Linked DNA regions of Xenopus tropicalis. The protein of the gene in region 2 interacts with the protein of the main gene of each other region in a biochemical or structural test. Links are inferred from orthologs where the notes say so. Each region holds a gene or a part of one and is shown on either strand. Other genes may lie near its edges.

Region 1 (11,213 bases), on a different chromosome or scaffold from region 2:
AGCATGGAGTTGAGGGACATAATTATGTAGGTCACTCCAATAAGAGCAGAATTGCTCCTGTTGTACAAACATTAAATCTAACATTAGACACATGAATCTAATGCGGACAGTCTCTTATGTAATGGACAAGAAGATTGCACAGGGGGATTGTCACACTTTTGAATCTTCATTATAAAATACACAAACTGTCCATTATGCACAATACTTCTGTCCAGTCTTCAAGAGACTGATGAAGCGGGCAACAAACAAAAATTAATATTGCATTTGTCCCAGGTTCAAAGTCAAAAGAAGTGCAGTTTATTCTGCAGCAAAATAGCCGAGCATTTGACCTGAATCTAAACCACTTTCATACCCTGTGCCTTCCAGGGAATTACCAACTGTCTTATGAGCTGGAACTCAAGAACAGCTAGGGATTGGTAGAGTATTAGTACATAAACCAGTGTTTCCAACTTATTTGTGCATTCTTGCATGTTCCTGAAAGTTTACCTTTTGCTGGAACCAGCGCATTGCCTCCTCTTTTCCAATACGGTGCTTTGCTCCAATTGTGCCTCTCTTGCGTTTTTTGTCGGCAATGCTAAATCCTGGTCGGCCAAGAACCTGTGAATATTAAATTTGGTAAAAAATTATTTAAAAATCAAGGCTGACAAGTTTGCATTTCATTACAGTCATTGCAGTAATTGTGCACTGTCAACTCAATGTTTAAGAACACAGCTATAAAGCATGAAGTACACATTCCTTCCCTCCCTTTCACTATTTATATATACTAAGGGATCTGGAGCTTCACCTCTAACACTGCTGCTAACATGCGAATATACTCTTAGCAAATCTTACTAAAGTGGGCAATATTGGTATAACGCTCCCTTGACCTACCACTTCTTTAGGAGGGGGTACATTCGTCGCACTTTAGAGACTTAATGCTTTCAATTGCAAATAGTTACAAAAAAAAAAAAAAAAAAAAAAAGGGGGGGGGGAATAAAAATGGAAAGCTAAACCCTTATAGTATTTTATTATAAAATAAGTCACCAAGGAGCTTCTTGACCAAATACAAGCACAAGGTTTTCATGCAGGTCACAGAACTCCATGGTGACTTCTAAATATATTTTTTCACAACAAGGAGTACATTATTGTAATTCACAAGTTTCAGCAAGTCATGTGACAGAATACATCGCTGGGCTTGATTGTAACGGAGCACATCACTAAGCACCGTTAAGGAGTTAACTTACAGGATATTCTGTGTATTATATCCTTATAATAAACAAGAGCCATGAATATTCAGTAATATCCTTTAAATCAGTGGTTCTCAACCAGTGGGTTGGGACCACTTTGAGGGTCGAACAACCCTTTCAAAGGGGTCTCACCTAAGACCATCGGAAAACACATTTCCGATGGTCCTAGGAACAGAGACACCGCTCCTCTATGGTTGGGGGTCACCACAAAATGAGGAACTGTATTAAAGAGTCGCTGCTTTAGGAAGGTTGAGAACCACTTTTTTAAATTGTTACAGAATATTAATGGCTCTTTATTAGAAGGATACAATACACAAGAGCCATGGAAATCCTGTAAATTATATATCCAACAACTGTGCTTGATGCCATCCATTATAATTTGTCACATGACTAAACAAAATGTGTATTATAATAAATGCACTCCCTGTTCCTTTACCTGTACTAAAAGCACTGAATGCTTAGTGACTTGTACCCCGTTATAAAATACGGACATTATTCACTATATAAACTTACAGGATATTTTTTCTAATAAAGCCAGCACTCCAATAAGGGTAAACAATACTATTTTGACTAATAAATGCTTCTACAGAGCACTAAACACCCCACACCAGAAGGTAGCAATCTTTGATTACATGCATGCACTGAATGGTCAAATTTACCAGCTCCCTAATTATGTGTCATGTGTGGCTCATTATGCTTCATATGCGTATAATGCAAGTGCTGTAATTTTCTTTTGTATTACTACCTAAATGACCACCAGGAGCTCCCTTCCATTGCAGGCACCATAGCACTCTCTAGAACTTTTTTTTACCAAAAAGTCATATTTCCCCCTACAAACTAGTGTACCTGAAACCACCATTGGGCCTCTAAATTCACTTTTAGCATATGTTAGACAGCCCTATTACTGAACATATTCAGACCCTTAATGCTTGTGTCAGGCTGAAAATGTCAAGTACAAGTGCTTGTCAGTTTCACTGCTCCCAGTGACTTTGCCCCCCCCTTCTCTAAGGGCAAAGACAGACTGGGAAATTAGCTGCTGCAATTTTTTTTTTTAAAAAGCTAGATGCATTGACTAATTGCCCAGCCACGGCAACTAATTACTGCAATGTTACCCATTCTTCAAATATGAAAATCACTGCATGCAAAGGTACCAACACAGCTACAAGTCACATCTACTTTAGTAGCGGAATTGGTCACTGCAACTTTTTTTTTTTTTTTTTTTTTTTTTTAAATCACAGCAACTAATCACCCCATCTATCTTCACCATAAGAGTGGAAACACAAACCTAGCTTTTTACATGAGACTTTAGTGTTGGTACGGTTACACAGTTCAGCTAAAACCGGCAAAAGGCAAGCATAAAACGGCTGCATCTGTAAAACTAGGAAAGGAGGTAGAAGCTAGGGAAAGCAAGCTACCACAGAGCTATTTTCTCTGATAAGCCCTATGCGGCTAATGTTAAACATGGGTTATAGTGATTAATTTGGCTATAGTACCCTTTTGTTTATTTTGGCCTCTATCTTAAACTAGCAGACGGTTTAGGAGCAGCAACTGCCCACTTACCTCTGCAGATGCCTCATCTACATGCATAGATGGCGAATCTGCAGGTAAGTTGCCATTTAGACTGACTGAACAGGATTTTAAGATGGACTGTCAAAATTTAAGGTGGCCATACACAGCAAAAGGTTGCCAAATGAATGGATCTTCCCCTTGACCCTTAAGGTGGGCGATATCTAGCTTATTTGATAGACTGACCCTTGGGCCAAACAATCAAATTAAACCAGCAGGCATAGGAGCTGGTGGGCCGAGGACTGCATCGATGATCAGATCCCCAATCCAATGGAAAAAACAAACATGCCCATCGAGATGTGGACAATTTTAGTCAAAATCTGTCTGGTATGCCCATCAGGGGTGCCCATAAACTGGCAAATAACCTACCAAATAAGACTTTGAATCGGCAGCTATAATCTGCCCGTGTATGGTCACCTTTATGCCCAGGTTTTAAACCACAAGAATCAGCCAAACCATCCAGCCAGAATTTAGATATGTATGGCAAGATTTAGATATACTTAAAAAGCTGTTACCAAGATGCACATACCACATAGAAGTCCAATCCATAGATACCAATGCTTGGGTCATATTTAATCCCCAAGTCAATGTGTTCCTGGATACCAAAACCGAAGTTCCCTGTGTCAGAAAAGTTGTTTTTTCTCAATTCATATTCCCTGACCTAGAGAGAATAAAAATCATTAAGGAACCTTTTATAAATTACAAGAACATTGTCCACTAATTTATGCAGGATAACAAATATGCAATACTCAGTCTAAAAAGGAAGCAGACCTCCATGTAGTGTTGCCACCTGGCCAGTATTTAACAGCCATAGCTGGTATTACATACTCACCGTCAAGTACACTGCTGGAAAATTTGTAATACCATTAAGATGCATCTCTGCCCACTTAAGGCCCAGTCAACTCCAGTTCCAAATCAGAATCAACCCAGGCATATCCATGCAGTAATGGACCCACCCGTTTACTACTTTGTCTCACCTATGAGGTGCTGTGCAGCCCCTTTAAGTCACCAGCCAGTTACATTTTTCGAAAGGTGGAAATGCTACCTGCTTGTGATCATACAGATGTGTAAAAACTCCTCTTGTTCAGAATATATATTGGGCCAGTGTATTCTTCTGCAAGAGCACAACCCTGAGGTATCATGTAGCCTCACCAATAATCGAAACTTTCTGCCTTCTTAAAAGTTTAGAACTACATATCTGAACAGTCGAATCTATCATTACTGACATTTCACTACTATACAGAATTTTATGAAGGACCGATATCCCATATCAACAGGTCCAAAGTGAATGTGATAATTGGCGCTTTGGAGCATACAAATTATGGTCTTACAGCTGATTCTGCTTCTATCTTTAGGCTATGCCCCTGTACCAAGGTCAAGGGGCCTTTTATCATATCCAGTGACCAAATACACCAAACAATTCCAGTCATCACTACATAAATTGTCTTTTTTTATCAAGCTATGTATTGATCTTCAGAAAATGCATTCCCCAAAATCTGGTGTAAATGTAAGCTGCCCATTGAAAACTGGAAAATACATAATTCATTTTTTTTTTTTACTTCTTTACTTCTGCTGAAACTTGACGCTTGAATTTTTTTTCCATTGGCTTTAATACATTATACGAGGTTTGTAGTGGCATGAATGACATGAAATGCAAATATAGAGTGGCATAAAACACACCCCTTGACAAGTGTGCCATTTTACACAGCTTCTTACACTGTTTTTCAGCCTTAGTTTTACCCAGTATGACACATTGGGTATAGCACTACAAAGCAGGACAACAACTGAAATGGTGAAGTGTCCAAGAATCCACCAAACAGTTGACTTAAACCCAGACTGCTTGAAGTGCACTGGGTGCCTACAGTGTTACATGCAAACAAAACAAGGTCTGCAACAGCATGAAGTTCCATATTGCGGACTTGTGCTGCAGATATGAAACTAAACCAAGTTTTACGCCATTTTAAGCGCACTTCAGCCAAGTTGTAAAGGTATGTTGTGTAGAATTCAGTGGTTTCAGTTAAGGCAAGCAACTAAGTTAGCAAGGATCCTACCTTCAAGCCCTTTTCCAGGATCTCTTCTGCTTTGGCTCCACGTACTGTACAATGTACGGCAATTTTCTCATTTCTTCTTATGCCAAAAGACCTCACTGTGTAACGGGCTGCAAAACAAATTGCTATTGTAAGAGCACAGCTTTGCTAAATGTATCAGATCTAACAAAGGGGCAGCTGGAAAAGAATCATGCACTTAGGTCAACAGGTTATAACACCAAACAAAATAGCAATCCCAAGAAACAAATGATTTTGTTGAAAAGTTTTCCCTATTAGACATCCATCTGATATGAAGTCAACAGTTCAGCTGTATTTATTAAACTTCTATATAGATTTTCTCACATAGCCTTGCGGCAATACACATGCTACAGGGGTGCCATATGTATAAGCTCTTAAAAAAAAGGGGTAATTTACAGCACAGTCATATGAACAGAAGGGAGACAAAATTGGTAAAAGGCCTGCAATTTTAGTTACTTGCAGTAACAGTGCTCAATAGCGACATCTACAGTAAATGAGATGGCAAGCTACTATTGAAGGCATGTTGGGACATATCACTGACAGTATCATTTAAAAAAAGAATTAAAGTGATGGTTTCTTTACCTTTAGAGAAGACAGGAGTCTGCCCGGTGAGCTGCTCCAGCACCTTGGCTGCCCGGGTCAGTCTGTCACCACTCTCACCAACACAGATATTCAAGCAGAGCTTACGAATCCGCAGCTCACGCATAGGGTTCTCTTTGTCAGATTTGTCCTGGAGGAAGGGAAGAAAAATTATTAGGGATACATGAATCCAGAATTTGGCTGAATATTAAGAATAGGGCAGAACGAACTCCAAACCCTAAAAGAAATGTAAATTTAAGAGGCAGGATGAGTGGAAGTGAGATGCAAACGGTCAATTTTTCCAAGATTTAAAAAGATTAGATTTGGTCAAATAGTCAGCCAAATACTTTGGCATATATTGTATCTTAAATGCCTGCTACACTGATATTGCAATTCAGCTTTCATACAGGCTTAACAGTTCACAATAATGTCAACTAGCAGGCTAAATATTCATTTAATGTATTTGAAAGATGTCAACAGGACAGTAAGCAGGGAATAACTTCCATAAGGTCACAAACTACTAGGGGCTTTCAGTTTGTAATATTACATTTCCTTGTATTTTATTTAAGGAGTTCCCAATTCCTCCCATAACCAAGAACACATTATTTTACAGGCCAAGGTAACATTACCACATTCCTCTAAACGTCTACATGAAAAAAAGCAGTGAAAAGATTCAAGTATTTTAATAAGTCCCCTGGATTTACTATGAGGTTTATAAAAGCACACACTATACAATCAAGTTAGGTGTAACAGGCAGACACACTGACCAACCACCAAGGATACCAGAGTCCCATACTGTCCGACAACACAACGTGCTTAAAACTCCTACATACATATCAATATTTTAATGATTCAGCCTGCCTAAAAGTCACACATTTGCCTGTTACTAGGCGCAGTCATATAAAACAAGTCGTAGCAGCTCAGCAAATAAGAGCAGACAGTCGACGCTAAACATAACAGACCGTGTACCAAAACAGTTATGCATATTCTAAAGATCCTTATATGCTAGACATACACGGCATACACAGTTATGGCTGTATACACCCGGCCCAGAATGATCCTCCAACAATCTGTCAGTGTAAACGGGCCGCTACAATAACTAGATCATCGAGCGAACAGATTTGCCAGCATACGATCTACATAAGTATATTTAATAGAGACGCGCCTATGAAATTGATGGCGACAGATTAAATTCCCCGGCGCAAAAGCTTCCACATCTGAGACTCACCGCCATGTTGGGAGATGGGAAGAGATCGCGAGAAGTCAGAGTCTGCTTTATATAGTGCGTAAGGCCCGACGCATTACGTCACAGCGAGACTTCGCTCATGAGATTAACTTTACGTGTGCCGGACAATCAGGGTTGTGACTGGATTCACCTAGCGGAATGGGAGTTTACTTCCCTGAGATATAGTAACTGAGTACATTATAGGTAAATTGATGTTCTTATTCCTTTAGATTTTGATATTATTGTTTGGGGTGTGCAATAATCAGTTGTTTTCTGTAGAACGAATGGATTCTATTTCAATATCAGATCATGCTTCTTTGTGTATTGATCTTTATAAACCATTTCTTGGATTGGATTTTTTTCAGTCTATAATAGGTATTTTCTGTAGTCTTTTTTAGTGTGGGAAGTAAAAACACCTATCGGAATCTGAGTAATTGTTCTGTTATCCAGTGCAATACAAAAACCATTCTTACAATTTAAAGGAGAATAAAGTAAAATAAATAAATAAAAAACCGGGGGTTCCAGTTTGTTTGGTGCCCTCATTGCTTCTAGATGCCAACCTGGGCTGGCATTCCTACAGTTAGGGGCCCTAGGCTGGCTTCTAACAGTAGGGAGCTTAGTTGTCACTCTCTTCCAATTTCCCAGGCATTCCCTTCACATGTTGCACTATAGAACAACTTCACTAAATTCTGTACTGTGCATGCACCCAGGTTGAGTAATCATAAGGAAGTCCTGGGAACAGAGTATGAGATGGCAGGTGCATACTCTGCTGTAAAGTACCCAGGGCTGGTGTATTTTTTTTAGAGTGGAGCATCACCCTGGGGTAAATAGCTGTTAGCACTGACTTTAGGGATGCCCTGAATCCATTATTTTGAGATCTCGCGAACCTTGAATTCTTTATGAAGGATTTGGCCACACTGGCTGTCCAGAGGTTAATAGTAAGGCTGCAACATCCCCTTAATCATGTAGATTTCCTTCTTCTCCTGTAGCCTCCCCCCCTCCCCCTCAGGACTTTGCTTTGACTTCTGGTTTATAGGCATGCTCAGTTGTTCTAAGCTCAGATTACTAAACACGCCCTCCAGTCTAGCAGCCAGTAAAGAGATGGCATTGCTAGTTCCCATAGAAACTCAGCTGTCTGCTTCAGTTTTTTTCTCCTAACTTTCTCTCCTGAACTCAGCTTAAACAAAGCAGAACTTTTATCAGAGACAGTTCTGCCTGTGTGAGCCTGTATTCTTGATGAAATGTACCTTTGTGTGTGTAGGCTGTTTGCAGATTTAAATGTAACTGATTATGTATCAGAGGAAAAATGGCCACAGGGTGAAAGCTATTATTTGCTTTAGGAATGTGATGGTGCTGGCAAATGGATGGGATAAATGCAGTACAAATAATGCCATTTGCGTTGGGTTGATGTGCCCAACTGATATACATTGTAGGCAAATGTAGGCTTTACATGTCCTTTAAGGATTCAAATTCCAGGCATGTGGATAGGCCTGGCTCCGATTCCTGCTGAAAAAGGCTGAATCTTGGCCAATCCTGATCTGAATCCTGGATTTGGTGCATTCCTAATTGACTTGAATCAGAAGTATGTTGTCTAAAACCAGCTGCCTATAATACGTAGCACATACAGGTCTTGAGGATTAACATCTGGAATGCACTGGTCAAAGCCAGTTGAAAAATCTTTTATTCAATCTTTTTGCAAGAAGAATTTATTTAAAGAGATACTAAGACCAGAAATTTAAACTTTTTTTTATATAAAAAATTATCAAACATCTTTGCATGCTACATATAGTATTTGCTCAATGCTTTTACATTACCTATCTAATTCCCCATGTTCCTCTATAAGGGGGCTGCCATATTTGTGCAGCAGGAGTCTGTTAGCATTAGAAGCTATAACTGACAGGCTGAGAAGGGACAGGTTATCGGGTTGGCAAAACAGTCAGGTTTAGGAACTTCAAGTAACAATTACTTACAAAAGCAGGTCTATCAGCGAAAAACTATCAATATGACCTAGGTAACTTTTTATATACATTCATATTTTGAAGAGTAGTTTTTAATGTCAGTTCACTTTAAAGCAAGGCATAATTGTGTTAATAAGCTTACAAAGGCCTCACCTGGAGTACAGTAATACCTTGTAGTACACACTACTGTTAAAGACATGCACTGCTTGCAAATATTGCTTTTTAAATGTTCCACGTGGTATTTCCTATTTTCCTCTTCTACCTACTTAAAGGAACAGTATATTTCTTTTAAAGTAAAAGAAATATAATGTACGGTTGCCCTGCACTGGTAAAAGTTGTGTGTTTGCTACAGTAACTCTACTATAGTTTATATAAATAAGCTGCTGTGTAGCCACGGGGGCAGCCATTCAAGCTGGAAAAAAGGAGAAAAGGCACAGGTTACATAGTAGATAACAGATAAAACACTATTGTATTCTACAGAGCTTATCCGTTATCTGCTAAGTGCCTGTGCCTTTTCTCCTTTGAATGGCTGCCCCCGTGGCTACACAGCTGCATTCTTTATATAAACCATAGTAGTGTTCCTGAGGCAAACACCCCAGTTGTACCAGTGCAGGGCAGCAGTACATTATATCGGAATTTCTTTTATACACTTGAATTTTTTGGTGTTACTGTTCCTTTAATCATTTACTTTAATCAGAAAGATGGCACAATATTCCCTCCCAAATAAACTTTTGATCATCATTTGCATATCTTCCATTTCTAAAAGAATAAGTAAACCTTTTTTTTCTATTATTAAAATTACTCTAAATAGCATCCCAGAATTGTCTGCCTTTGTCCCTTCATTCTCTCTGACCTGGTTCCTGAGTTACAAGCTGCTCGATTCCTCTCCTTCTTTGTTCAGCGTGAAGCTCCACCCCCACTTCCTGTTCAGGTCTCTCATTACTTTGACTACTGTAGTCGAAGTGGAGAGCCTTCTGCACATGCCTTCTGCACAGGCTTTTGTAAGGCATGAACACAAGCATGCAGTCCCAAAATGTTTTTGGTCATGCCCCTTGTTTGTGCAATATAAATAGCTGATGTTACTCTATAACAAGCAGTTCATATATTCATTAATTAATGTGCTAACTCATTCAGTTTGTTGGGGGTCAGTGAAGTTTTTCCTAAGTTTAACCCCTTCCCACCTTCTTGACCCTGCTCTCTTCTATCATTGATTGTTCTCCCTCTACACGCTGTCTTTGGGAGATCTTATCCATTCATTCAGCTTTAAATATCACCTGTATGCCGATGATATCCAAATTTATTTTTCAACCCCTTCGTTAACAGTTGAAACTGAGAGTCAAATCTCTAACTGCCTCCTGGCTATCTCTAATTGGATTAACCAACCCAACCTCAAACTGAACCTAACAAAAACTGAACTAATGATCAGTTAGGATTGCAGGGTGAGTTGTTGGCTAGCTGGTGAGGAATGAGTTAACATGCATTGGCCACGCAGCCTATCAGAGTCAGGCATAGGTTTCTTAAACCCCCTGCGTGCACTCCCCTTTGCCAGTTCAATCAAATCTCTCACACACCTAGTACCTTTGCAAACTTTCAGCATTACCTGGGAGCTGAGCTGTGAGTAGTCAATAGTTTCAAAATGTTTGCCTAGCAGCTTTTGCCTATGCTGCCAACAAGTTACAGACTTGTTACTCTGTTTGTAAGCCAGCAGCTGCACCCAGGAGCCGAGCTGTGTGTGTTGTTACAATTGTTTCCAAATCAGCCTAGCAGCTATCCTGCTGGCAAGGCGTCAGACTTGTTACTTTGTTTTGGGTCTCAAGCAAGGGGATCCAGTAATAGTGTAACTTTTGCCTTATAACATATTGAACTGGCCATAAAATGGATCCAGCTGAGACCAGTCAAGCTATTGCGGATTTGTCTCAACAATTTGCATCAATGTTTCAAGCTATGTCTAGTCTGCAAGCACAGGTTCAGCAGCCATGTTACACAGGCTAATTTTTCAGCTGCAACCCCAGCAGTATTCTACTGATTCCCATAGAGTGGGGCTGATCCTGACACTTTTGTCTGGGGAAGCTTTAAATTGGGCTTCTCCCTTTATTGAACAACAAAGCCCCTTGTTGTCTGATTTTAATGGGTTTCTAGCGGCCATGGCGGTTATCTTCGATGACCCAAACCGTGTGGCCACAGCTGAAGCTGCCTTACTTGGTTTGTCCCAGGGGCGGGGGACTGTGGCAGAGTATGCCGCTAGTTTCAGGCGGTGGGTGGCAGATACCTCCTGGAATGAGACTGCGCAAAGCTTCCATTTCAGGAGGGGCTTGACAGATATAATCAAGGACGAGCTTGCAAGAGTTGATGCACCAGAGGACCTAAGCTCCTTTATCCAGTTCATCAAAATTGATAGGCGTCTCACTGAGAGGCTCCATGAGAAACCTGGAAGGCCCTTGCCAACACCTATTACTAGCCTTGGTCAGGGTGAGGTCTCTCAAGATGTGGCTTTAGGGGATGAAGCTATGCAAGTGGGATTTATCCGGGGTCCTATTTCTTTGGAGGAAAGGAATCAGCACAGAGCCGAGCGCCTCAGTATGTATTGCGGAGT
Region 2 (10,924 bases):
ATGATCACTTTTATAATGTGACATTCATTTCTTTCTGGAAAATAATCGAAACAAGGCATGTAACTGGTTCTAAACTAACTATTGGGTCACAGCTTTAATTTAGGATAAAGAGACACTGATGTAGATGCTTATGCAGATAATTTACAGTTGGGTTGGACTCTTGTCTCATGGTTTGTAAATTATTTAGCTTTAAAATCTGGTTGAACGAGTTCAGTTTAGTGAATAGATAGTAGAGGGCCCAAATGGAAAGTATAACAATTAGTAAAACTGAAGCCTCATAGAGCAATGCAGTTGGTTGCTGGGGTCAGTAACAACCAGATGAGGAGAGGAAGACAAACAACTGTGAAGAATAATTCAGTTGTAAATAACATAACATTCTAAAAGTTAACTTAAAGGGCACCCTAAAATTGCTTCCCGCACCAGGTGAGAGCTAGTAAAGCCTACACTCCGATTGGAGGAAACAAATTTGTTTTGTTTTTTAAAAAATAGCCCCCTACAGTATTTGGGCAGCCATGTTGTGGCACTTGCACGCGCATAACGAGAGTGTGACATTGGCGAGAATCCTCAGCTCCAATGTCACAAGCATGTGAGCAATGAGCGAGTGGGGAGTCTCCCTCATATGCATGCTTAATAACATGGCCGCCTGTACCAAGAGCTCCCTCCCAGTGCTGGCACCCTAGCACTGGCAGGGACTGAGGTTTTCTTTTTTTTTTTAACTATTGTTTCCCTCAGCCATAGTGGTGGCTCTATTAGCCTGCAATTTTAGAGTAATATGTGCCCAATTAAGAGGCAAACTACCTTTTTAAAAAGACTTTAATATTTACCATGCCCTGGTTCTTGGTGGGGAAAAAAAAGGGTATATATTCAAGTATGTTACCAAGATTTTCAAAAATACTTAACCCGGACAGTTAACTTCTGGCATTTTTTTTTTTTTTAACAAATTCGCAAATAGAAATTTGCTTATTGCAGCTGCAGTAGTTCCATCGTCAGTATATGCTGCATTTAGGTATAAGCTCAGCTAAACTTAAAGTGACTGTTTAAAATGTTGGCCAGTCAGCACTGTGTAGGGGCTAGTAAGGATTTGCAGCGGAGTGATGGGGAAGTATTCACACAAGCTTAATTAGAACAGACATTGTTGATGAGGAAAAACAACAGCTTGCCAATATTTTCTGAGTGATTTTTGTAAGCCACAGTGATGCTATTTATTACTGCTGCAATACCATTCAGGCCACTATCAGTCTCCAGTCTTTTAAGTTATGGTGGTTTCTTGACCATGGTTAACCTTTCAGTACTTGTTAGAAAACATGAATCAACTGCAGGTTTCTGTGCAGCAAGTGGGACAGTAAAAACATCACACACTGATCGTACGGAAAACATTAAAGCCGGACAGGGCTGTGCTGACGACTACTCCCGGGCACTGGGGATGCCAATGAAGTTCTTTAATGTCTTTTTCTCCTTGATGGACAAACAGCAGCTGGGGAGGGATGCCTGCCAATGCTGGGTCTTCTGTTTCTGCCTCCTGATCCTGATCTCTTTCAACTGCAAGATCCCACTGTGTTATCTGGTCGTCGGCTCCCGACGCTGCAAAGACGCCGCTGTCGGTTGGGTGCCACTCTACTGACGTGATTGGAGCTGTGTGCTGTTTGAACTTGGCAACGCTCACTCCTTTCTGTTATGGGTAGAAAACTTGTTATTGAAGTCAGTTCCTTTTATGACATATATCATTCCAACCAAAAAAAAATAAAAATTGTATATTTGTACAGAAAAAAAATGTAAAATATGTACATACACAAACTTCAAGGCTTTTACTGTATATGGAAGTACATTTCTACTTTTTTGGATTGTTTGCAAATGTAAATGAATACCCAGTTTCACTGCATTAGCAAGGCTGGAAACCATCTGTGACTTTAGATTTTGCTTATACATAGCAATTAATAATACCTCATCACGTGACTAAGCAATAATGGGAACTTGGACTATTAAAGTATTGATAGCTCATCCCTTCAATCCAATTCCATAAACTTTTTGCCTGCGTTGCCAGAGACAAATATATAACATAGGGTGCAAAAGAAATAAGTGCACACACAGGAGCAATATACAAAGCCAGAACCAACTTGGCTCCAGTAACCAATCCATGTAGACAAATCTCTTTCAATGGACTCCTCTCTTACAGCAGCATCTAATGGTTCCTAATATATTGTATATCTGTACATATATATGCCCAGGCCATAACCCACCTGGAACTGGCGAAGGTCCCAGATCTTTAAGACACCATCATCTCCTCCGCTAACAATGAAAGGTTCTTGGTGGTTCCAGCTGATCACATTGACATCACTCTCATGGGCTTGGCTGGCAGTCAGCATGCAGGCTTTATTAGGGGCTGCTCGGACGTCCCAAATACGAATGGAAGCATCAACGGAGCACGAGGCAAACACCTAAACAGATAGATTTATTTTTGATGCCCCTTATACATTTAACATGAAAGCATAAAAAACAAATCATAATTATTAAACCAAAAGCCAACAGGATACTTTGTCAGTACATGATTTTGCTTACTTATTAATAAACATTAAAGTGATACTGACACGAAAAAACAACTTTTTAAAATATGAATCTACATGAAAAGTTGCCTATAGGTCATGTTGATCATTTTTTGCTGATAGGTTTGCTTTTGTAAGTAATTGTTACTTGAAATCCCAAAACCTGACTGTTTTGCCAGCCTGACTGTCCCTTCTAATGCTAACGGCCCCCTGCTGGACAAATATGGCAGCCCCCTTATAGAGGAACATAGGGGATCAGACAGGGAATGTAAAAGCTTGGACAAATACTTTTATGGCAAAATTATAAATAGCATGCAAAGGCAATGTTATGACAATGTTATAAAAAAAGGTTTCATTTCTGGTGTCAGTATCACTTTAAGGACCAGCGTATTCCAGTAGACTGTAAAGTGTAGAAAAGGACTACAGCTTGCTTGTTAGGCAAGGATGGCACCGAGCAGATCTTTCCCCAATATGCCCACCTAAGGTGGGTGATTTAACGACAGGGATACCGGCCATTAGGACAAGGACAATCTGATGAGAAAATGACACCTTCCCTATTGACGTGGCCGATTTTCGCCAAGGTATCAGAGGTAGGCCCCATACACAAGTAGATAAGCTGCCGAAACAACAGCTTAAATCTGCCTCTACAGCCACCTTTACTCTGGAATAGGCAGTGGTTAAAGGTCTTGCAGTGTTTTGTGCAAGTCCACGGGCAACTTATATTACATTTCTCCCTTCTTGTCTTGAAGATTATATTTGTTGTGTATAGTCAAAGGATGCAGAGAGGAAAAGTTAAGGCATAATCACTAGTGGCTGCCATTACCTTCTTCCTGTTCTTGGCTGTCTTCTGTGGCCCTGAGCCAGGTGCCCATATGCAGCAGAGTGAAAACCCAGCTTTGTACTTCTACATTCAGCTTTTCTCTCTACCGAGCATATACACTTAGACCAGGGTCGCAGAGAAAATCGAAGAACAGGAAGACGATGGGGGTGTGATGCTCCTACACAAATACTCTGGGCTGGTGGAGTCTTCAGCGAACAGGAGCACAAGGTCGCAGGTCGAAAGAAATTACAATCACTAGAATAACTATAAGACAGTGTATGTTCTTTACCGTGGCTTCTGTAGGAGACCACTGAAGATCCTCAACAGATTTAGTATGGCCCGTGAATGGTCTCTGGTCAACATGCCACGTTCCCCCTTCTCTTGGATCCCACAGATGGATGTTCTTATTGCAGTCACCAGTAACCAAGCGCCCTAAAGAGGTAGTGAAAGGGAAGTAGAAGACTAAGTGAATCAAACTATTGATGTTTAACCTTTAAAAGCAGCTCATGTACCATTAGGCATTTTTACCAAGCCTTTATAATCAATAACAACTCATGGGAATTTGAGGCTTAAACTTTGGATAACTTTGATATGGTGTACCTGCTGTTTTTGGAGACCAATCCATTGCAAACCCTTCGGTCATGTGCCCGGAGAAAGAAAACACTGGTTTGATTTTGGCTTGTTCCTCCTTCAGAAAAGCAGCGAGCACCTGAGAGTCTGACACAGCCGACAGTTGCTTCCTTAGATCATAAATATCCACTTGCCCTTTCTCTGACCAGACAGCAGCCACGGGTACTTCCCCCATTGTAGATACCTAAAAGCAGAGACAAACCAATGATAATATAACAAACAGAAGTAGTTAAAAGCTCACATTTGCTTGTATACCACATATATGGATCTACTCGTATATAAATATATATTAGATTATCACTTTTTTAACATTTTGTTTCCCTTTAATGTTGCAGAGCATTCCAGGTCTGACATTTACAAATAAAACTACTAACAACAGTATTGTATACCACAGCAGAGGTCGCAATAGGGCAGCACTTCCTAGTTTAGTGTATACAGGTATAGGATCTGCTATCAGGAAACCTGTAATCCAAAAAGCTCCAATTTGCAGGAAGGCAATCTCCCATAGACTTGTAAGCAAATTATTTACATTTTTAAAAATTATTTCCTTTTTTCCCCTGTAATAAAACAGTAGCTTGTACTTGATCCCAACTAAGATATAATTACCCCTTATTGGGGGCAGAACAGCCCTATTGGGTTTAATGGTTAAATGATTCCCTTTTCTCTGTAATAATAAAACAGTACCTGTACTTGATCCCAACTAAGATATAATTACCCCTTATTGGGGGCAGAACAGCCCTATTGGGTTTATTTCATGGTTAAATGATTCCCTTTTCTCTGTAATAATAAAACAGTACCTGTACTTGATCCCAACTAAGATATAATTACCCCTTATTGGGGGCAGAACAGCCCTATTGGGTTTATTTAATGGTTAAATGATTTACTGAGATCCAAATTACAGAAAACCTCAGGTCCTGAGCATTCTGGATAACAGGTCCCATACCTGTATATCTTTTCCTAAACATGGCAAAGTTATAAAGACAAAAACAAATATGAGAACACAACCCGACTTACGCGAATTCTATTAATGCCACCATAATGAGGCACCATAGCGAGCTCTAACTGAGGCTTCTTTTCTTCCTCGTCCTCTTCTTCGCCACTGTCACTGCTTTCAGAATCGGAATCATCTTTCTTTTCCTTGCTTGTACGGTGCAAATTGTACATTTTCATTACCAGCATCCTATAAGAAAGAGAGGAAAAAGAGTTACACTTCCTTATACAGGCTGGGTGGATTCTCAGGTACTGTAGAACTGACAGTAAGTTCTGGTGAATAAAAGATACAAAGACAAGACAACTTGACCAAAGTCAGAAGACATCAGTTCTGTTCTGCAGACCTTGGCTTGAGTAATTGCTTTACAGCTGCTAAAATGAACAGCTGCCTACTAAGTGTCAGTCAGATATTGACAGTCAGTCAGTCTGATACTGCATGAACTACAGGCCAAAGAAGTGTTGGTCAAAGGCCAGATTATAGTAAAATGACAATGTCAAAAAGCCATTTGGCAAACTGGAGCCATAAAAATCACTTGGAAGTCTAGTGGGCCCCCAGCTGGGCAGCCTTATGGGGTTCATTTCAAATGTTTGATATTATATGTTACTGCAGATATGTTATTGCATTCTTTTTTTTCCCCCAATAAATACACGACCATATATAATTGATCAATTTGTTAAACGAGGTTTTCTTCATCTACTTTTGAGACTTAGAAAATCAGATGATGCTTATGTACCCCTGTACATAATCTATTTCTAGTACCTGTTGCCTTGAGCAGAGTCGGCCTGAGTACCAGCGCAGAGGTACATAGTCAGCGGGTAATCTGTGCGATTTTCCCCCAGGGTATCACGGATGACATCAAAACTTAAACATGGTGCACCTATAACACAATAAAAAAAGAAACCATTTAATTTTCATACAAAGAAGCAAAAAACTACAAGACAACCGTGTAGTATAGTTTTGTAGTTGACATTGCTGGGGTCCCAGGTTTGATTCCAGCCAGGGCATTATCTGCATGTTCCCCCTGTGCCCCCCTCCCCCAACACATACCGGCAAGTTAAGTCATTCCTAATAACTGTAGATATAACCTATGGAAAGTGCTGTGGAACACGTTGGAATTATTTATATACTTATAAACATATATTAAAGATATCATTATAAAATGACCAGGCTGGTAAGCTTGCATGGTAACTTGCCCTTTAAAGAGCCCGGGACTGTGCGCTGAACTTCCCGCCGCTCCCCTCCCTGCCCGACCGCTCCCCTATAAGGGATCCCAACACCGGGGAGCAGAAGGGAGCGTTACCTGTCTGTGCCTGGTGATACAGTACATACGCCTCCTGGTCCATCACCAGCTCTTCTCCCTCCTTAAGAGGCTCCATCCCGGGCAAATAGACCCGCTTGGGCCCTTTGTCCTTCTCATCGTCCTCCTCTTCTTCCATAATATCACCCTCGTCATCTTCATCCTCGCTGCCCGACTCTTCCATACCTTCATCTTCCTCCTCATCCTCTGCGGGATTTCTCCATGTGGTTTCCCCAGTGCCTGACATCTTGGAATCGGGCGACGTCACTTCCTCTGGCTTCGTCTGCCATGTGTTCTAACCTACTTCCGCTGACGCCTTGCCATTACTATGGAGGCGATGTGCAGCGGTCTCTACAGAATGTAGATGTAAAAATCTACCCATAAACCCAATAATAAAATGCAACAAGACACTCCAGACGTTAGCTAATTAGTTACTTGCTATTGTTAGAACTAAACGCAGAATGGTTTGCAATTAAGGCGGCCGTTATATATTAAAGACCAGCAGCAATACTTCTTGTATATGTATGTATATCTTTATTTATAAAGCGCTACTTATGTACCCAGCGCTGTACAGTAGGTTATTCATTAATACAGACAGGAGGTTAAAGATAATGGATAAATACAAAGTACAACAATAAATACAAATAAATACAAGGTGCAGTTGCAATAAGAGTCAGAAACACAAGATGAAGGAGGTCCCTGCCCCGTAGAGCTTACAATCTATATGGGAGGGGAACTTACAGATACAAATAGGCAAATATAAGTGCTGTAGGTCACAGTGGGTGACACTACAATATAAGTGCCAGTTCCCAGATCAGGTGCTGGGTGAGTGCTCCAAAAGGGAGTCTTTAAGTTTAGTTTTAAAAAGACTGAGGGAGGATTCTCTCCGGAGGAAATCAGGGAGGGCATTCCCAATGTAAGGGGCAGCAGGGCAGAAAGGTTTAAGGCGGAAAACAGCTGTAGTAGTTGGGGGCGCAACCAAACGGTTGCTCTGCGAGGAACGAAGGAGTCGGCCAGGAACGTGCGGAGACACCAGGGAAGAGATGTAGTGAGGGGCAGAGGAATGGAGGGCTTTGAAGGTTAAGAGAAGGAGTTTGTAAACTATTCTTTGTTTAACAGGAAGCCACAATAAGGCCTTTAGCAGGGGAAGGGCCTGAACTCTCCTGGGTGAGAGGAGGAGAATTCTGGCAGCGGTGTTTAATATAGACTGTAGGGGAGAAAGATGGGAGTTAGGGAGGCTGGTTAGCAGCAGGTTACAGTAGTCAAGTTGGGATAGCCTTATGGGGGAGTGGGGTGATAATCTGTAAATCAGCAAAGGGAGTGGAGAGGTCCCCAGTGCTCCTTATGAGAGCAAAATGTAAAAATTTTATTGTGGGGGTACTGTCTATGGGGGGCACTGTGTATGGGGGTACTGTCTATGGGGGCTACTGTGTATGGGGGCTACTGTGTAAGGGGGCTAATGTGAATGGGGGCAATTGGGGGCACTTACTATGGGGGCATTGTGTAAGGGGGTACTTTCTATGGGGGCACTGTGTATGGGGGCTACTGTCTATGTGGTCAATTGGGGGCACTGTCTATGGGGTCAATTGGGGGCGCTTTCTATGGGGGTACTGTCTTTGGGGGTACTGTCTATGGGGGCACTGTGTATGGGGGTACTGTGTATGGGAGGCACTGTGTATGGGGGATACTGTCTATTGGACCATTGGGGGCACTGTGTATGGGGGGGCAAAACTGGTACTTAGTTATAACTCACATATGCCTTCTCTCTATATTTGAGAGGAGTTGCTGTATTGTTTTCCTTAGGTAGAACAGTATGAGGGTATAGCACATTTGCGTCTGATCCCACCATTTCAACTATATAAAAGGAGTATATTTTGAAAAAAAGGGGTGTGGTATTTGGGGACGTGGTCACAAAAGGGGGCGTGGTCAAGAAATTGCTGCGATGCGCGCACCAAATCTTTTTGTCCCTCTTTTCATTTTTCAAATGTTGGGAGGTATGAGATAAGTAATAAAAAGTGACAAGAACAGTTAAAGGGTAGCCTCACAGAGAATAGGTGTTAAGCTCCTGGGGGGGGGTCAGTAACTCCTATCTGAAAGCTAGGAGTCAGAAGAGGAAACAAAATAATGTAAAAAATTTTTTATAAATTAGACCAGTTGAGGAATAGCTAAGAATTTACCATTGTATATTGTACTAAACTATAATGAACTATACCTTTAACTGCAGATACCACCAGCCATATATAAAAGCAACTGAACTCAGTGACTGACTCAGGGTGCTGAGAGAATCCAAGCGCTACTGCCTGGAATTGAATGTGGATTGGGAATTGGTTTTTAACCTATTAACCTAGTTTGCAGATGAAAAGGGCATGCCGGTGTATTGGCTTAGCTTTCCGATAGATGGAGCAGAAGATCTTGCATTTCTTGTGTTTCCTTGTTGCCATCAGATCCAGCTGCAGTGCATCCCACCTGTGTATTATTACATGAAAAATTGGTGGTTGAGAGACCATTCACCTGTCATAATTATGTTCCCACTGAGCTGGTCTGCTAGAGTTTTCTACACACCTCTTTTGTGTATTGCTGAAATGTGGGAGTAAAGCCTAAAAATGAATATGGCTGGAAATGTCATATTTTATATACTTTATGCATCTGCCTAAAAATTCAACATCTTTATAACAGTACTGATCAAGGCCTACAAAGTTGTAATCTCCCCATTTGGATTTTGATAGGAGTGTCAGAGACACTGCACATGCTCAGTGAGTTCTGTGCAGCTGGTGAAAAGCTAAGCTTAAGGGTTGTCAAAAGTCATCAAGCAGAAAATGAGTTTTCCTATCATATAAGATGATAAAATGGAACGTGCAGGTATGCATCTTACAGGCCTATGGTGACAATGAGAGGAAATTTACTGCTGACCTTATGAGTTGCATCCTGAATTTCTGCCATTGTATAAACTTGTATAGGTATCTCAGGTTTATGGTAGTTCTGACCTTCCCTTCAGGTTTGGGAACCAGAAACAGTGCAGAGTATATCCTTTTGAAACAATCTAAAGCTTTTTTTCAGTTCTGAAGAGGAGAAGAGACATATTTACTGGGGATTCTGCAAATTTGATAGTCTTCTTTTATATTACTGAATACCTATCTGAAGTGGATTTTTCTCACTGTAAAAATGTGAAATATGTCCTTGTCATGAACCATCTTAAGTTTTGGCATCAGAATTCTGTGTTTGCTTAACATCTTGCTCTTTAAAAATAAACACAAAAAAAACTTTTTTTCCCACACCTCTTGTCTGGTCTCAGTGTGGCATTTTTGTTTTGCCCAAACCTCAAATCTGCAATGTTGCAGACGTTCCGGAAAGTCTAAAAGAGTCTAAAGAGGAATCTGAATATGGAATAACCAAAACAAGATTTAGCTGGGATATGGATTCAGAATACTTAAGTCCACAAATAGCCAGGATCTGGGAAGGCATCAAACCAGAAGTCTGAAACAGACCAAGAATCAGAAACCAGGAATGAGTAATTTGGGGGCCCGAATTAGCCTGAATTGGCCCGAAATTGCCCACCTATAGGTGGGGATATCAGATCTGCTCGCTTGGCGACCTCTTCCTGTGCTGCCTAAAAACATAATGAAAAACAGTATCTAGTAGAATTAAGTCTAAAACAACTGGACTTTTCTGAGTTTTTCTTGAAACCGTTTCACCACTCATCTGAGTGGCTTCTTCAGTTCAAATGACTGGTAGGGAATTCCCCGGTATTTAAACTCTTGATGGTAGTAGAGTCACAGGCATCCAATCACAATGGTTCCATTGCACGTTACTGTCCTCAAAAGAGTGACCTTTTTCTTTGAGGTGTAGATAGACCGCTGAGTCTTGTCCTGAGGAGTTTGCCCGCCTATGTTGGGCCATTCTCTTACAGAGAGGTTGTTTTGTCTCCCCAATGTATAAGTCTGAGCACTCTTCACTACACTGGACAGCATAGACCACATTACTTTTCATGTGCTTGGGTGTTGGGTCTTTCGGGTGCACCAGCTTTTGTCTCAGGGTGTTGCTGGGTTTGAAAAACACAGGAATGCGATGTTTGTTGAAAATTCGCCTAAGTTTTTCCGATGTTCCAGCAACATATGGGATGACTATGTTGTTTCGCCTGCTGTGTTCCTCCCTTCTGTTTGTAGGTCTGGTCTTTCTGTTGGTCTTTGATTTGGTTTTGATGAAGGCCCAGTCTGGGTACCCACAAGTTTTCAGAGCTCCTTTTAGATGTTTATATTCTTTCTCCTTAGCCTCTGCATTGGATGCCACAGTTTCAGCCCAATGATGTAGAGTCCTAATTACACCCAGTTTATGTTCCAAAGGGTGGTGGGAATCAAACAGCAAGTACTGGTCTGTGTGGGTGGGTTTCCTGTATACTTCAATATCCAGGTCCCTCCCCTCTTTGATAACTATAGCACAGTCCAAAAAAGCCAGTTTGCTGTCTTTCACATCTTCCCTTGTGAACGTGATGTTTTTGTCCACCGAGTTTATGTGTTTGGTGAAGGCTGGAACCTCGCGTTCTTTAATTTTGACCCAGGTGTCATCCACATATCTGAACCAATGACTTGGTGTTGTTCCCATGAAGGTGTCCAGGGCTTTCTTTTCCACTTCTTCCATGTAAAGGTTCG

Evidence for each region.
Region 1: the proteins of grwd1 (region 2) and rpl11 form a complex in vitro, tested with the Homo sapiens proteins (2 studies listed by BioGRID). The link is inferred for Xenopus tropicalis from reciprocal best matches to the Homo sapiens genes GRWD1 and RPL11.

Annotation. Positions count from the first base shown.
Region 1 is NC_030678.2:90,767,965-90,779,177, forward strand, and holds the start of rpl11 (60S ribosomal protein L11), read right to left. Parts: upstream 6,677-11,213; 5' UTR 6,672-6,676; coding exon 6,666-6,671; exon of another isoform or gene 6,603-6,665; intron 5,589-6,602; coding exon 5,441-5,588; intron 4,951-5,440; coding exon 4,844-4,950; intron 3,454-4,843; coding exon 3,322-3,453; intron 598-3,321; coding exon 487-597; intron 1-486.
Region 2 is NC_030683.2:114,828,086-114,839,009, forward strand, and holds the start of grwd1 (glutamate-rich WD repeat-containing protein 1), read right to left. Parts: upstream 6,546-10,924; 5' UTR 6,526-6,545; coding exon 6,282-6,525; intron 5,859-6,281; coding exon 5,741-5,858; intron 5,171-5,740; coding exon 5,005-5,170; intron 4,175-5,004; coding exon 3,961-4,174; intron 3,793-3,960; coding exon 3,650-3,792; intron 2,436-3,649; coding exon 2,238-2,435; intron 1,670-2,237; coding exon 1,352-1,669; 3' UTR 1-1,351. UniProt on the Homo sapiens protein: Histone binding-protein that regulates chromatin dynamics and minichromosome maintenance (MCM) loading at replication origins, possibly by promoting chromatin openness.